Alligator mississippiensis: one gene and its partner. The protein of the gene in region 1 interacts with the protein of each later gene in a biochemical or structural test. Links are inferred from orthologs where the notes say so. Each region holds a gene or a part of one and is shown in the gene's direction. Other genes may lie near its edges.

What was found.
Region 2: the proteins of DNM1 (region 1) and SH3GL1 form a complex in vitro, tested with the Homo sapiens proteins (2 studies listed by BioGRID and IntAct, with this or other methods). The link is inferred for Alligator mississippiensis from reciprocal best matches to the Homo sapiens genes DNM1 and SH3GL1.

Annotation. Positions count from the first base shown.
Region 1 is NC_081835.1:57,700,502-57,708,220, reverse strand, and holds the start of DNM1 (dynamin-1), read left to right. Parts: upstream 1-4,716; 5' UTR 4,717-5,009; coding exon 5,010-5,170; intron 5,171-7,719. UniProt on the Homo sapiens protein: Catalyzes the hydrolysis of GTP and utilizes this energy to mediate vesicle scission and participates in many forms of endocytosis, such as clathrin-mediated endocytosis or synaptic vesicle endocytosis as well as rapid endocytosis (RE).
Region 2 is NC_081839.1:5,309,929-5,317,221, forward strand, and holds the start of SH3GL1 (endophilin-A2), read left to right. Parts: upstream 1-4,289; 5' UTR 4,290-4,405; coding exon 4,406-4,450; intron 4,451-7,293. UniProt on the Homo sapiens protein: Implicated in endocytosis. May recruit other proteins to membranes with high curvature.

The DNA of each region.
Region 1 (7,719 bases):
CTTGAGAGCTAGATCTCAGGACAAGCCTTGCGGCTTCTTCACCTGGCACTGGAAATGCCACGTATCTGGGTCCAAGAAGGCAGTTTTCCTGAAGCGTGTCACAAGAGAACTGCTCTTCTGGCGTGGATCAGGACCTGGCGAGGTGCAGTGGTGTTAAGCCCAGTTTGTGGAAATGGCAGTCTCCCCCCTTGCTTGCTCCGAGGGCCGCAGGGCTGAGGACAAGCAAAACTCAGGGGCATCTGAACCCCAAGCCCCCGGGCTTGGGCCTGCAAGTAGGATGCCTCCCAAAGGTTTTGGAAACAGCTGAAGCCCCAGATGCGGGTGGAGGATGGTTGCCGGTAGTAGGCCGCTTATGGTTCTGGACACTTGGATTTAGCATTAGTTTTTGCTAATGTGGCTGTGGATACAAATTAAATGTATCTAGATATATCCATCTATCTACCCATCTAGATCTATTTCTCTATCTATATAGATATTTGCTGGGTTCTGCTGTTTTCCTGTCTGATCCACCCAGGCCATAACCAGCCAGCTGGGAACCAACAGGGCATTGACTACTTAGCTATACGCAGTACTTGGTTATCCAAACTGTTTGTACAGGAAGCGTTGGGATGCTACCATCTATTCTTCAGCCAGCTAACATACAAACTTGTTTGCAATATTTCTTGCTGAATACCATCTATAGATAGATAATGTCCACAGGATATAAATTTAGATACTATTTTGATGATGCCTTCCCTACAATAGCCCCAAGTAACTTCTATTTACTGTTTTCAGTCCCACATGGATGTAACATAGACTTAGTTACTATTTTGTGTTGCCTCTCCGCATTTGAAATGCACAGGGAACTCATCTACAGGTCTTAAAATAGTCATTCATTCTTCCAGACGCACGCTTGTCAAAAATCCCTTTCCCACTGGGCTACAAAAATTACATGTATTCATTACCTTGCTTAAGTCCTGACATCAGTGGAGCTATACCAGGGATAAATTTAATTTAATCTGCTTTCAACGATATTTGCCATTGTTGAAGGTTTTTGTAAAAGGGAGGAGCGTGAGGTGGGTTCTACCGTGTCCTGTTTCAGAACTGAAGGGGAATGGAGCAGTTATTTCACTATTTTTTCCTGACTGCCAAAGCAACACAGGCAGAAACAAGAATTTGGGGGATGTGCGTGTTCCAGATAACTGTTCTTATGTCAAAAACATTCCTCTTGCATGTCTATGTTATTCACTAGTGATATAAAGATACTCTCCTACACTGAACCATTTGGCAATCCCCATCCCTGATCTTTTAAAAGTTTAGATTCTTACCTTGGATTGTAGAAGTGTCCTGGGAACAAATCTGTGAAGAGCATGTGAGGTTCCTCTGTAATCTGACTGTCAGAAATTCTGAGCATTCACAACTCTGGCTGAAGGCTGGGACCCATGGGGCTCAGGATCTCTGAAAAGGAGATTCTTAGTGAGCAGGACACCAATGGCAATTATAAAAATTACTAATCTTTACATGGGATCTGGTATACTGTTCCACTGGGGTCTGAGTGTATTGACAATACACCTGGATCTCTCCTGCAGAGGGGCAGCCTGCTGGCATTTGCTCTACTGGATGACTTTTTAAAGGATGTGCTTTTCCAAAAGGGCTTTTAAACTGCAGTAGCCACATAGTTGGCAGATGTCTTTGCATAAGTACATTTGTCCCAACAAGGGCAGGCAAAGTTCTTTGAGTAGATGTGATATCTTTTATTAGACCAACTGAGTAGCTGGAAAAAAAGTTCTTAGCAAGCTTTCAGGCACAATCACCCTTCTTTAGGCATAAGAAGTCTCTGCTGCTCTGACTAGTGCACCCACGCTGCCTGTTAGCACATCAGTAGATGGAGCTGCAAGCAGCAGCATCTTTATGTGAAGGTACAGTTTTAGAGATTAATTTAAAAGTATGGCCCTAGATCTTTAAACCATCTTAAAGAAAAGGTCTCCCTTTTCCTTCATTCATCTGTTCCCAGGCAGCACTTACTAGCCTAGAAATGATCTTGTTTTTTCTCTTCCATTCCTGTTTGGAAATGTCCTTTTTTATTTGTAAGATAATTTCTCCAAGGATCATCACTTGGCTCTTTTTATTTAACTACTGGTACAGCAGGTGTGTAAGTCATCTAGAAAGGCAATGCTGTACAGTCACAAAGCCTGCTACACTGCCCTTTGCAGACACCATTCCTGTGCACAAGCTTTTACATGAGCAGAAAATTATTCTGAGAGGTAATAAGCACATGCAGTTCTACTTGATATCAGACCTCAGTTTCCTTCATACCTAAATTTAGGGCTCTGACTTTGCAGGCCATGATCTGTATGACTGGAATCATCACAGAACTGACAGGGCAGACTAATGCTGTGGCAATATTACTGACAATTGAGAGCTTTGATATCATGCACACATGCCATATCCTCCTTTACCCGAGTGCACCTGCAAAACAGTAAAAGGTGAAGTGCTTTGTGCAGCTTACAAAGTAACGTTCATGGTGACTGACAGGCTCGGAGTGAAAATCTCAAGGCACTTTGCCACCGTTTCTGCAGATTTTTTCTTCTCCCTTTTTCCTCCTTTCTTGGAGGCTTGGGAAGAGAATCTGCTTTCTTCTGCTTGCTTCCCTAGCACTTTCTTTCAGGCCTCTCTTGCACCAGGTAGCATGGCTACTGTGATTAGATTGAACCAGGCAGGGCATAAAGAGCTCACCTCAGAGCCGTAGGTTCATTGATTCTCGCAGCTTTCAACTTCATATCAGTATAAAGGCAAGAATACCTAAGAGCTCATAAATGATCCTGCTGCAAATTCTGTGTTGCCTCCAATCCATCCAGTTTCCTTTCCTTTCCCCTGGGACATTAATTTTTTTTTCAGTGTGAAAATCAGCTGTTGGCACAAAGGTTTGCTTTTTTGCAAACCTTTTCTAATAGAAAAACAAGTATATTCATTTAATTTTAGATCTCACTGAGAACAGGAGGATTCCAAGTGATGAATTCTGGGGAACAGGCTCATCCGGAGTGAAACACCTGTTTAGAATGTGAAACAGCCAGATGGGGGCAAAATCCAATATCAGCACAGTTTGAGGCCGCTCCTGTTAGCACAAATGTTGACCATAGCAATCAAATACAATCAATTGTATAGGAATATTAGAAATGCAGATTAAAGCAAGCTTCTAGCAAATGGTAACTTTCCTACCAAGATTGCTAGAGGGGGACTGCAAAGATGTGTCTGGCGAGACTGAAATGATGTTGCTCCTTAAAGAGGCTTGGACAGGAAGGAGGGCATTCTTGATGCCTGTTTCACACTTTGCTGATATCTCCAAGGGCAGGAGTCTGCCAGGGAGAGAGGGTAATATTGTTATTTCAGACTCTGCCTGTATGAATCCTCAGAATGAGAGGCGGCTCACAGCAGAGAGAGAAATTGGCAACATATGGCTGTGTGCACCTCTTAACCTCCACTAGGGTTATTAAGCTTGGCCCTCTTTGAGGTTAACTAGGCTTGATAGCTTGGAAGGAAAAATAAGTAGTGGTTTCTCCTAAACACCACCAACTGATGGCCTGAAAATGATGCATCACCCACAGCACGAGATGCAGATCTTTGATTCTCCCCGCTTACCTTTCTTGCGTGAGGAATGAAAGTTAACAGCATGGATGATGTAAATCATCATTTGACATCTGAGCTAACATGTCCCTGATACAAAAAGGGCATTTCACACCTCTCAGAGCTATAGTTCCAGGCTCTGCAGTTTCATACAGGTGTGTCTGCATAGCTCACAGTTGACTGATATTTGTGAGGTTTTATGTACAATTATAATAGCTGAGACTTATTTAAAAAACTGAGAGCAGAAATTCTGGAAAATAAGATGGCAGCTCAGGCAAAGGGCCAAAGTACTATGCTTTCAGCTGAATCTGAGCCTGGAACAGGAATACCGTTTAGCCTCAGTTACAATGGCAGTTGAGATGCTATATATTTTCTTGAGCCACCACTTCCTTTGTTTTTTTCCCAAACACACTACTGTTTTCACCTGGGCATACTTCCAATGTAAATATGGCCCTGCATTTTATTTTTGTAGCTACCCTTTCACAAACCCTGAAATGGAAGACTTTCTCTTTGTGAAAATTAGAAAAAAAGAACCGGTGGAAACATCCTATTAAGTATTTCCCTGCATATTTGGGAAATGGCAACAAGGTCCGAGTGTGCTGAATAAGAAACTGAAATGGATCACTTCCCGGTCGGATGAAATGCAAAACGCAGAGATCCAAAAACAGAAGGCCAATCAGAAATACAAGAACATAACCTTTCAGACCAGTGATTTCAGGTGTTGACTATTTACAGAGACAGTACTTCACATGTTGGAAGGGATGGTTTCACAGTGCCCTTCCAGCGTGCAGAGTCAGGGCACTGATCATTTTGTGCTTCTCCAGGTTCAAAGAAAGAAGACAGACTTATTCCTACTTTCTGTACTGCAAGGTATCCCTGATCGTGCAAGAGATCAGCGATCATGAAGCTGTGCCACATCTCAGCTTGTAGGGCTGGATTTTAATTTCGCCTTTTAACTCCACTAGTGAGGATTTTGCTTGCTGAGACACTGGAAACATCCCTCTTATTCTACTCTTGCTGCATAGCCCGCTTTGGCCGCCCACGGACACTAGAGAGAGAAACTACAAGTCCCATGAAGCTCTGGGCGCGCCGGAGGCATCACGGCGCCCCCTGGCGGCGGCTTTCGGTCGCTGCGCTTTAAATCCAAGCAGGAGCCCGGCGGGTAGCGGGTCTCGAGCTGGCAGTCGGGAGCAGCGCTGCTGCCGCAGAGATCTAGGGACCTGGGCAAGGTCGGTGGAGGCGGAGGGCGAGCCAGCCCCACTGGCCACGGAAGGGTGGGTGGGGACAGCCCCCCATGCGGGCTCGGGGGTCGATCCCCACCAGTAGATCTTTTGCAAAGCAAGCGGGGGAGAAGGAGGCGGTTGCATTGCAAGCCTAGAAGGTGAGAGCCAGGCAGAGCTGCAAGCATGGGGAACCGCGGGATGGAAGACCTCATCCCCCTGGTGAACAAGCTCCAGGATGCCTTCGCAGCCATCGGCCAGAATGCCAACTTGGACCTGCCCCAGATTGCTGTGGTCGGGGGGCAGAGCGCCGGCAAGAGCTCCGTGCTGGAGAATTTCGTGGGAAGGTAAGATTGCAAAGACACGTATGATTTTAGGGGTCGTTCTAGTGCTGGATCCTGATGTGTCTGTATCTTGTGCAAGGCATTACTCAATATGCAGGCAGTGCAATTCAAGCAGGGGGAGGAGGGCTGATCTTGCTCCCATTGACTTGGGGTTTGTGTAGAAGGAGCCCAGTCCCTGCTGCATGCACACGCTCTACAGCTAGGATTGCAATGCAGGGTATAATGCAGAAATCCATGAGCGGTGACACTGTCACCTTCAGTAGCCCAGGGGTCTCTCTCCGCAGCATATAAGTGTGTGTGTGTGTATAAGTGTCAAGCTCTAAACTGGTTAGATCTGATTGGCAGCGGATCAGTGCTGGGCCTCATTGCTGGGTAGGCTCTCATAGGGTTTGGAGAAGGGGGAGGTGAAAGAGGTTCCCACAGATCCTTCTCTGGAGTGACTAATGCACAAAAGAAGCCATTTGTCTGAAGGTGGAGAGGGAGTGAGGAAGTCATGGAGCTAAATGCGTTGTCCACAGCACAGGAGATTTAATGGTTTAAATCTTAAATCATTTATTTATTTTTTTTTGAGACCTAAAGACAGGGAGGCAGGATTCAGGGGAAGGAGCTGGGATAGAAGGATGTCTGCCCCCCTTCACACTGTTGTCAGAGGACAATTGCTGCTGGACATGGAGGGGGCAGGCTGAGGAGTATGGGAGGGAGGGCACTGCTTCAAGGAGAGAAGGAATAACATAGATTGGTCTGTACATTCAATACACCCTCGTAGAGATACAGCAAAGCACAAACAAAGGCTCCCTCCGTTATGTAATCTCAGGAGGTAGAAATGTCTGAGGAAAATAGCCACAATTGGTGTGTTCTCCTATTTTATCACACCTTGGGGACCCTCAAACCTGTGCCAAAAATGATGCAGCTCCTGAATCATTATTGGCATTGAATCATCTATGTGGTTCTGGAAAGGGCTGATCAGTGAATACTGCGCATGCAAATACAGAACTGTCTATGCAAAACCCGTTTGATACCAAGATAACCTTTCCCTGCTGTTATCTGAGCACATCCTTCATGACTAGATGTCTTATTTGTTACAAGTTTCACCCTGAGGAATCCTACAAGGTGAAATGCCTGCTAGGAAGGCTAGGTTAACACAGCTTGTCCTCTGCTCTTGATTGTGACTGGCTGGGTGCAAGACTTGCCCCCAATGCTATGCAGCCCCCTAAAGATGGAGGTAGTTGTTAAGAGGCAAAACAACAGTGTCATTTAAGTTTAATTTGATCCCCACCCCAGTGTCTGCTTCTGTCCTCTATGGTGGATGCCATGTCGGGAGCTGATGGAGAAGATGCAGAAAGGATTGGGTTGTTTGTTCCCCTGTAAGCTCTGGGGACTACCATTTTGTGACAGGAAGATTGATGCTTTCCCTTCATGTAACATTCATATTAAATCATCAGCAAATTCAACAAATAGCAGGTAACCAGAGAAGACACAGACACAACACCTGGAGATCTTTCTGAGCTTGTCTGTAGCCTGGTTAAGCTATTGTAGCCATTGTGATTATTCTTGCCTATCGGGAACTACCTTCCTCTGTGACCATGATGCAGGTTGCAAGGGATTTTCCTAAGACAACTGCTATGATAGTGCTGTGTTTTAGACCTCCCCTCACACCCCTCCTGCCCAAAATTTGACAGTCTCCCATTTCTTCCCCTTTTACTGTTCTCTCTTCCCCACACTAGCCTCTGCACTGTGTTATCTGCCAACAAAAGACTTGTAAAGCTTTTGTATTGTTAAGAGAGCCTGTAATGAGTAGAAATAGCTCTATCTTTGGTACCTGAACAGACCCCATCATAGGGACTTAGACTCGGGCAGCCCTCAGAAGTAAGACTGTGTGTAGGCAGCACAGCTTATTTAAGAGAAGGCATAACTGCCGCTCCTGGGGAAATTAAAACACTGGGATCAGAGTAGTATTTCATGCAAAATATCCTATAGGCACATGTAAAAGAACAGCCTGGGATTCTCACTTGGTGATTATAAGGGACCTATCTGGAGCCTACTGATGATCCCATTCTGATTGTTCGTGTGCCTGTGGGCATCACAGCAAGGAAAAGACCCCCCCCCAGTCGGCTCTTACACTAATACTGCTACTAACTTTATCCCTGTCCAACCTTAGAGCCACAGTCATTGACCTGGAATCTATTGTGTTAGGAGGCTGTAAAAACACAATAAAGGATCCCTGCCCCCAAAAACTTAATACTCTGATAAAGCTAATTGAGAAGGGAATAAGATCACCAGAACCACTGCTGAATAAAACCCTAGTTAACCTGTTGGGTTGTCTGCTTCCGTGGCCCCTAACAGCTGATGGTCAAATCTATCGAGTCTTGTCTGAAGGCACTGCTGCAATGGCGTAATTTATAATGCATGACCACTGAGCCAGGAAAGGGCTCTTCTAAGGGACGCTCAGCGTATCGGGGAATGTAATACCTTTCTTTCAGATTTTTGCAAGCATTAGGGGACACAGTCATCCTTGGTGTAACTCCACTGTTTTCAGTTGAGAACTGGAAAGT
Region 2 (7,293 bases), on another chromosome or scaffold:
CATGCGCTGCGTGTTCTCTCATTTCCCCCCCACGGAAGAAGTGTGTGCATTGGTGCATCTTATTTTGGCTGACTCTTAAGGACTCTGGTTTGGTTTTTGAGGGTCTTTTCCTACCTTCTTAAAAAATAAATAAATCAACATTGTTGCTCTGGGTTGATGTCAGAGAAGTCGAGGTCAAAAGATGAGCCTTGCACTTCGAGAAAAAGGAAGTGCAGGTCTTTGTTTCTGGGACTCTTCATTCCACAGTCTCGAAATAGGTTCAGTGTCCTGCACAAATGAGCTCTATCTTTCTTGCAAAGAGATCTTCCTTTGCCAGAGAAATGTAGCTCTCAGCTGTGTTGGTTTTTTTTTTTTCCCTCGGAGCACTGTGTGGTCTTTTAAACATCCTGAGGCCAGACCACAGGGTGCTTTGAAGATAAGGACAAGCCTTGAACTTGATTCAAAATTCTGAAGGAATTGACTGCGCAGAACGGAAGACACCCTGGATGTACTCGTAGTGGCCTGTGGTGCTGCAGAAGTGTGTTGCAGAATTTTCTATTCATTGGAGATTCCTAGCTACTGAAGTCTTTATGCCCAGGTATACTGCATCACTGTGGTCCACTGGAGGGGTGCTGACATCTGGTATAACTGAGGCCAGCTCATAATCTGCTAGGATGGGATGGAGTTGTCCAGAAACATTCACAGAGGTTTTTGAGAGCATAGCAATATCCAGTTGCTTTAATTTGGGTGTGTGTCTTCAACTAAATGAGACTACAGCACAACCATAAATGCTTCAACTTGCTTTCATCTGTCCACCAGTGTTACCTGTTGGACCTGGATTCAGTGGCACACTGCTCTTTACTCATGATCTGGTTTCAGTCAAGCACTTGGCCCTTGGCTATGGTGGCAATGATGTGCTCATATGTGATGAAGGTCAGGGAGAGCTACGTATCACCTGCATATTGCTGGAAGATGAGCCTGTATCGTCAGACCGGTTCACCTCATTGCTGCACGTGGCTGTTGAAAAGGACCAGAGTGAGAATTGAATCTTGTGTGACTCCAAAGTTAAGGTACCATTTCCTATCACTGTTCATTTAGTGTGCCCTTCCAAATGGCACAGAGGGGATGAGAAAGATGAGAATGGATGTCTGCCCTCTGTCCATTCACAGGAGATGAGCATCCATCACTGCCACTAAACTATTTTCAGTTTAAAATGATCAATGTCGGGTTTACAACAAACAAAAGGGAATGCTGATTTACACAGCACATAAATAACTTGTGGAACTCTTTGCCACAGGACCGTGTGAAGGCTAATAGTATAATCAAGGTCAGTTTTTATGGAGGATAGGTCCATGGAGCTATTAAATACAACAACCAGGGGTGTGAACTCAGGCTTAGGATGCATGACTTTGAGCATCTGGGAGAGTATGATTCTCCACACAACCCATTTCTTATACTCTCCCTCTGAAGCTCCTTGCTACTGCTGGAGACAGCACTGAGCAAGTTGGGTCTCATCCTGGCTGGCAGTTCTTGTATTCAGTTGTGTCCTAGCCTGAGTCTGGATAGTGGTTCCATTTAGATGAGCTTGCAGGGAGCCTTTGTCTCTACAATTTAGGAATGGGAGGTGCAACATTGAGTGGCAGCTAGTTAAATGAATACATCTAGCTGTGGGGAGGAGGAAGGAGGCTCTTCCAATGTCAGTTGGACTGTGGGTGCATGAAACAGGAATCTCTGAATGGTGTGTTGGCTCTATGGGGCACCCACTGTCCCTGATTCTTTCACAGGGCAGAATGGGCAGGGGTCAGAATGGGCCCAACTCCTTTAAAGGTGTCCAGAACTTTTTGGTGAGTGAATGTAGTGAACTCCAGGAGTGCAACTGGACTCTGAGCTGGTGGTAGAGATACAGAGCCATGCTGTTTGGCTTCTTAAAAGTATACGGTCTTTTCAGTGAAGTAGAACCATAAGCCTTTGCACCACATGGTGCTTAGTTCTGAATCAGGTTGCAAACAGTCAGGACAGATTAAATAGTTCACCCCCTAGCTTGCTTTCTTGTAGTAGAATCTGGCAGCTATGATGGAGGCTGATAGGAAAGTTCTCATGTGCTGTAAAACAGCCTTAGCAAAAGCCTTGAGGAAGTTTTTTCATTTTATCTTGTCTCTGAATTTGAGTTTCTGCCATTCTCTCTTTATCTGGCAGCGAATATCAGAAAGCTAAGGAAACTGAATGAGCACAAGCGGGAAGGGGCCTTTTTGAGGTCAGTATCTCAGTGGTCAAGGTTAGTGTATGATGATAATTCACTGAGTCCTCAATTCCTTAAATTTACATCATTGTAATAACAGAAATGCATGGAAAAAGTAACCTCCAAACACACAAAAAGGGGCTGTAAGACTCTTCTTCCAGGATCTGTCACAGGGGCATATTGCCGGGGGCAAAGGAGTTAAAATTTGGGGTGAAAGAGTACTTGTGTTTGTAACAGATAGTTTTGTGGCAGTGTTTCTATGCTGGGGTTGGACTTAGATGAGCCTTGAGGTCCTTGTCAGTTCTGTGATTCTAAGAGTCTATATTTTTTCAAGGTTGCAACATAGTCACACCAGAGAGAAAACTACATACAAAATGTTGCCATCACTTATCACTAGCTTCTTACTCAGCTGTAATTCAGGCATATTTCTGGCAACAGAGAACTTTTTTCTTCCAGTAACTTAGAATGTATTGTGAAACATGAAACGCGCATAACCAATCTTTATTGCAATCAAAATAATAGCTCTGAGAGTGCCAGCACTAAACAGACTTTTCAGTCCAAACACTGCAGGCTGTACACTCCACTGGCCTCTTTGTTCCTGATTTTGGTCTAGTTCTGTTGTTAGAATTAAGAACTTACTCTCTTTGGTATTACAAAAAGACTTCAACAAACAGAACATTTTGATTTATGAAATTAAAACCTGGAACATATTGGATGTCCTCCTTCCCCCAAAATAATGCTGGGATAGCACATAGAGGGAAAAAAAAACTCCCAGGAAAAGTTTATATTGTGTTGGACAAGCCGGAACAGATCATTTTAAAGTAATAATTTCTCAATCTTGTAAGCACTTACGTGCATGTTCGATGCATGTCAGTATTCCCATGTACTTAGCTTCGCTATTGTCAAACCATCGGTGGATTATTCTTAGCAGTGGAATTAAACGCACACATAAAAGCTTGTAAGGTGAGGGCTGTGGAGATAATGGGAATGACTTCTGACAGTGCATAAGGGTAAGGGTCTTTGCAGATGAGTGAGGAGTGGTGTCTATCAGTGGTAAACCTTTTTTGTACCAGGACCGCTTTGTAAACATCAGTGGCCAGTCCTGACCCAGTAAATAGTTTAAGTAGAAAACATCCCCCTGGCCCTGCTGGTGCCCCTTACTCCCGACCTGCTACCCCACCCCACCCTGCGAGGAATGGGGGAGCCCCAAGCAGAGCTGGAGCTCTGCCAGCCAGCAAGGGAAAAGCCACGGTTCCCCACGTTTTCCCCCTTTAAAGGAGAATCCATTTTTAAAGTTTGTTTCTGACCCTTTCGTATATTTTTGCAACCCAAATTTGGGTTGTGGGTTGAGAAACGCTGGTCTATGTTTCCAGTCCTGGGAGCTGAGAAGTCTCTTAACCCCCGCACCTGTAAGTGGAGATTGCAAAGTGCTCTGTGCCTGGCTTTTTACCCCCACCTATAAAGCTTTTATCCCTATAATAAAAAATATCAGATTTACCCAAAGAAACTTGTCTGCCTATGTCTGTACACTAACACGGCTACAGCCTATACCCCTCTAACCCTACACAGCTTTTATCCCTTAGAGGAATCATGAATGAGGGTGCACGCTAGCGAGTACCACATGCGTTGCTAGCTCATGGGAAGTGATGCTAAGCGCCGTGAGGATCAGATTAAGTCTTGATGGAAGTAAGAGCACCAGCAGCAATAGTAATGACAGGGAAAGCACAAGGGCCCCGGGGGCCTGGTGCAAACAGAGGCTGTCGGCTAGGCCTAGGAGTGGGACCTCACTCATAACTGATGGAGCTGGAGCTATTCCCAGCATCAAGCGCCCCAAGACGGGGACACCCGGGACTGGAGCCACGTGCCAGCCCCAGCCCCAGCCCGCCCTGCACTTCCGGGCGCTTCCGCAGGGGGGCAGTGCCCTGCCTGGCGCCTCTCTAGCCGCCGCGCGCCGCTCTGTAGTACCACCGGAAGAGCGGTGCTCTCCCTCGCGTCTCTGTGGTGGCGGCCGGGCCTTGCTCCCCCTGTCGGCAGAGGCGGGGCGGGGCGGGGCGGGATCCCTCCGCGGCCGGCCCACTTCCGGCTGCGTGGGAGCGGAAGCGGCGCGGGCCGGAGCGTCCGCCGTGGGGGGGTGTCTGTGCGCGTGTGCGTGTCCGCGGGTGTGTGTGCGCGCCCGCCCGGGGCAGCATGTCGGTGGCCGGGCTGAAGAAGCAGTTCTACAAGGCGAGCCAGGTCAGCGCCCTCGGGCTCGGGCTCCTCGGCTGCAGCCGTGCGGGGAACCGGGGGTGTGAGTGTGAGTGTGCGTGTGCAGTCCAGGTGTGCCAGGGTGTGTGTGTGTGATCCAGATGTGCCAGGGGTGTGGGCGCATCTGGGTGCGTGTGCAACCCAGACATGCCAGGGGTGCGTGTGCATTTGGGTGTGTGCGTGCGTGCCTGTGTGTAATCCAGAAGTGTCAAGGGGGCCAGGGTGTACGTGTGTGCTGTGTGCGATCCAGAAGTGCCAGGTGTGTGTGGGTGTGCGATCCACACGTGCCTGGGGGGGGGTTCGGGTGTACGTGTGTGATCCAGTGTGTGATGCAGGAGTGCCACGGCTGCATGCGTGGGGGATGCAGAAGCACAAGGTGCTTGCGTGTGTTTGCGTGCGCAGGGTCAGGAAGGAGGTGCCGGGTGCGTGTGCAGCCGTGATGCCGAGGTCTTGGCGGCGAGCTGTGTTGCCGCGTGCGTCCTGGCCGGGCAGGGACCGTCGTCCGCGGATGCCGCGGGGGAGCGGGAGGTGCCTTCCTGGCCCAGGGGTCACCCCGCTCTCCTAGCCTGCTCTTGCAGCCCCTCCGTGCAAGGACCACGCTTGCTTTCTGGGGAAAACGATGTGCTTGGCTGTAGGCTTCCTCTCCAAGGAGGCAGCAGCTGAAACAGATGGCTGCTTCTTGTCCGTACAGCCACGTCTTCTTTCTTTCCCTTCATTCCTAAATGCTTTCTAGCCACCCTTGCTTGTTGCTTCCCTTCCCATCTGTCCGGTCTCTTTTCACTAGGCACTCGCTCGTTCAAGAAGTGAAGGAAGGGGGTGGAATAAATGACCAGGGGATGTGAATTTCCAGTTCAGGGGTTCAGTGTGTATTGTGTTTTCTTCTAAAATGAGATTAATCACGTTGCAAGACTGTAGCAGAGACTCGCGTGCACCGCTGAGACAGTCACGGCATTTGTTACGTGGTCAAGGCTGAAATGCTGGCATGTTCCCTTGTTTTGCGTGAGGAGGCATAACGGAGAGAAGTTGTCCACAACCACATTCAGTAGCAATGTTTTTGGTTCTCCCGGCCAAGACAGAAATTAAAAATACTCTGGTCTTCCTAAACGTGTGTAATTCCTTGTCAGTCAAGGATCAGATGTGGCATATGTCACTTCAAATTGCTGATCCTAGCCACAAAGGAAGCATTAAGATGTCAGTTACCTATTTTTAAACTCTTCGTTTTTCCTATGGTTTTATGTCATTACCATGATTTCTCATTAATCCTTAACTCTGGAAGATGACCAGGAAAGTACTTCCCGTCATGTGAAGTTTCCCTATGGTTCTTCCCATGTCTAATGTGTTTTTCAGCCTTGTACTGCATTGCTTTGTGGTCGCACTAGCCACGTTTCCTTTGGACCTGTAAGTGAGATGTGTATCAGAGTGGCTCTTTGCTAGTTCTGCCCTGAAAGTTGCATTGCTAAAAGCTGCTTTTCAGAGGAGTGCTGCAAGTATCAAATGAGAATTTACTTCTGTCTTAAATACCTGTCTTCCTCCAGAGAGATCTTGCATACAGTGTAGGAACCGGTTTTGTAATGGCCACTTTGTGAAGGAGTTGCAATAGTTTTCTGAGCAAAAAGGACAGCTTAAGAATAATGGACAAGAAAACTCCAAATGATCTACCAAACGCGGTGATCAGTGACTCTTTTTTTCCTGACCATTGAGTTATTTATACGTCTTAATTTAAAAACAGGGAGTTGGAGGGGAAGGGCTGTGAAGGATCCAAATGGAGTGGATTTCAGGATGAAAGATAGGGTTATAGTTAGGAATAACGTTTCTTGTTATGCTTGGGGTCCAGGAAAGCACAGCAGCAAACTGCAGCTGCAGCATAACCCCAGGAAATTCTCCCTTCCTTGCTTAGTAGCTGGCATCAGGAACTGGAAAGGATTTTGTGGTGTGCACAAGTGACACCATCCAAGCTTTCGGCCCCTGTGGTTTTGTGTGCATGCGTGAGACAGGAAATGGCAGCCTTAAGATTCTGCGGAAAACTGTCAGATAGGCACATTTTTAGTGGTTTATTAGCAAAACAGAACTATTGGAAATCTCCCTTCCTGAGGCAGGTAGGAGCAGCGGGCCTTGAGCTTAAATTTGCAGCTGGGCCTTGTATGAGGGATCCCTTCCCACTCATGCAACGATGCACAGTTCAGTGATGCTCACAGCAGCCTAATAAAAGGGAGATTGGGTTTGTGAATCCCTCTTCCCCATCCTCTTGGCTGCTGCTGACCTTCCCTGCCAGAGAGGCATTATCCCTGTGGCTTATTAATTTGTAATTATCTGAGGAATGCATCAAGGAACAGTGAAACTTTGTGGGGAGGAACACCCCTCTGGCTCTCCCTGCGCAGCATACACGCCCCATTTTAAATTTAAACCAGTTGAACATTGTGCTGCTCTGCCCAGAGTGCGCGTGTGTTTTCCAGGCATAAAAGCTGGAGCACTTCAGTGAAGTGCAGCTGAATCCAAGTCTGTTTGCTAAGTGGCGTTCCCTCCTTCCTTGGCTACAGTTATGAAAAGGCATTTTGCTTATATGGCAAAACAAAGGGCTAGATTCCCGCAATCCTCATCCCCCATGCTCCAGGAAAACCAACCTCTTGATCATGGACTTCTTTTTATTGTTTTAAAACAAAAGTCTAAGGGGAAAGGCCTCACTGGGAATTTCTTGTTGGAGTATTTTACTGTTGCAAATCCTCTGTGATGAGTTAGTGGGGCAACCGGAGGTGAAAGTTCACTTCTGAGTCAAAAGCAACATGTAACTCCATCAGTCTGGATCATCGGGGAGACTTCATCAAGTGAAGTTG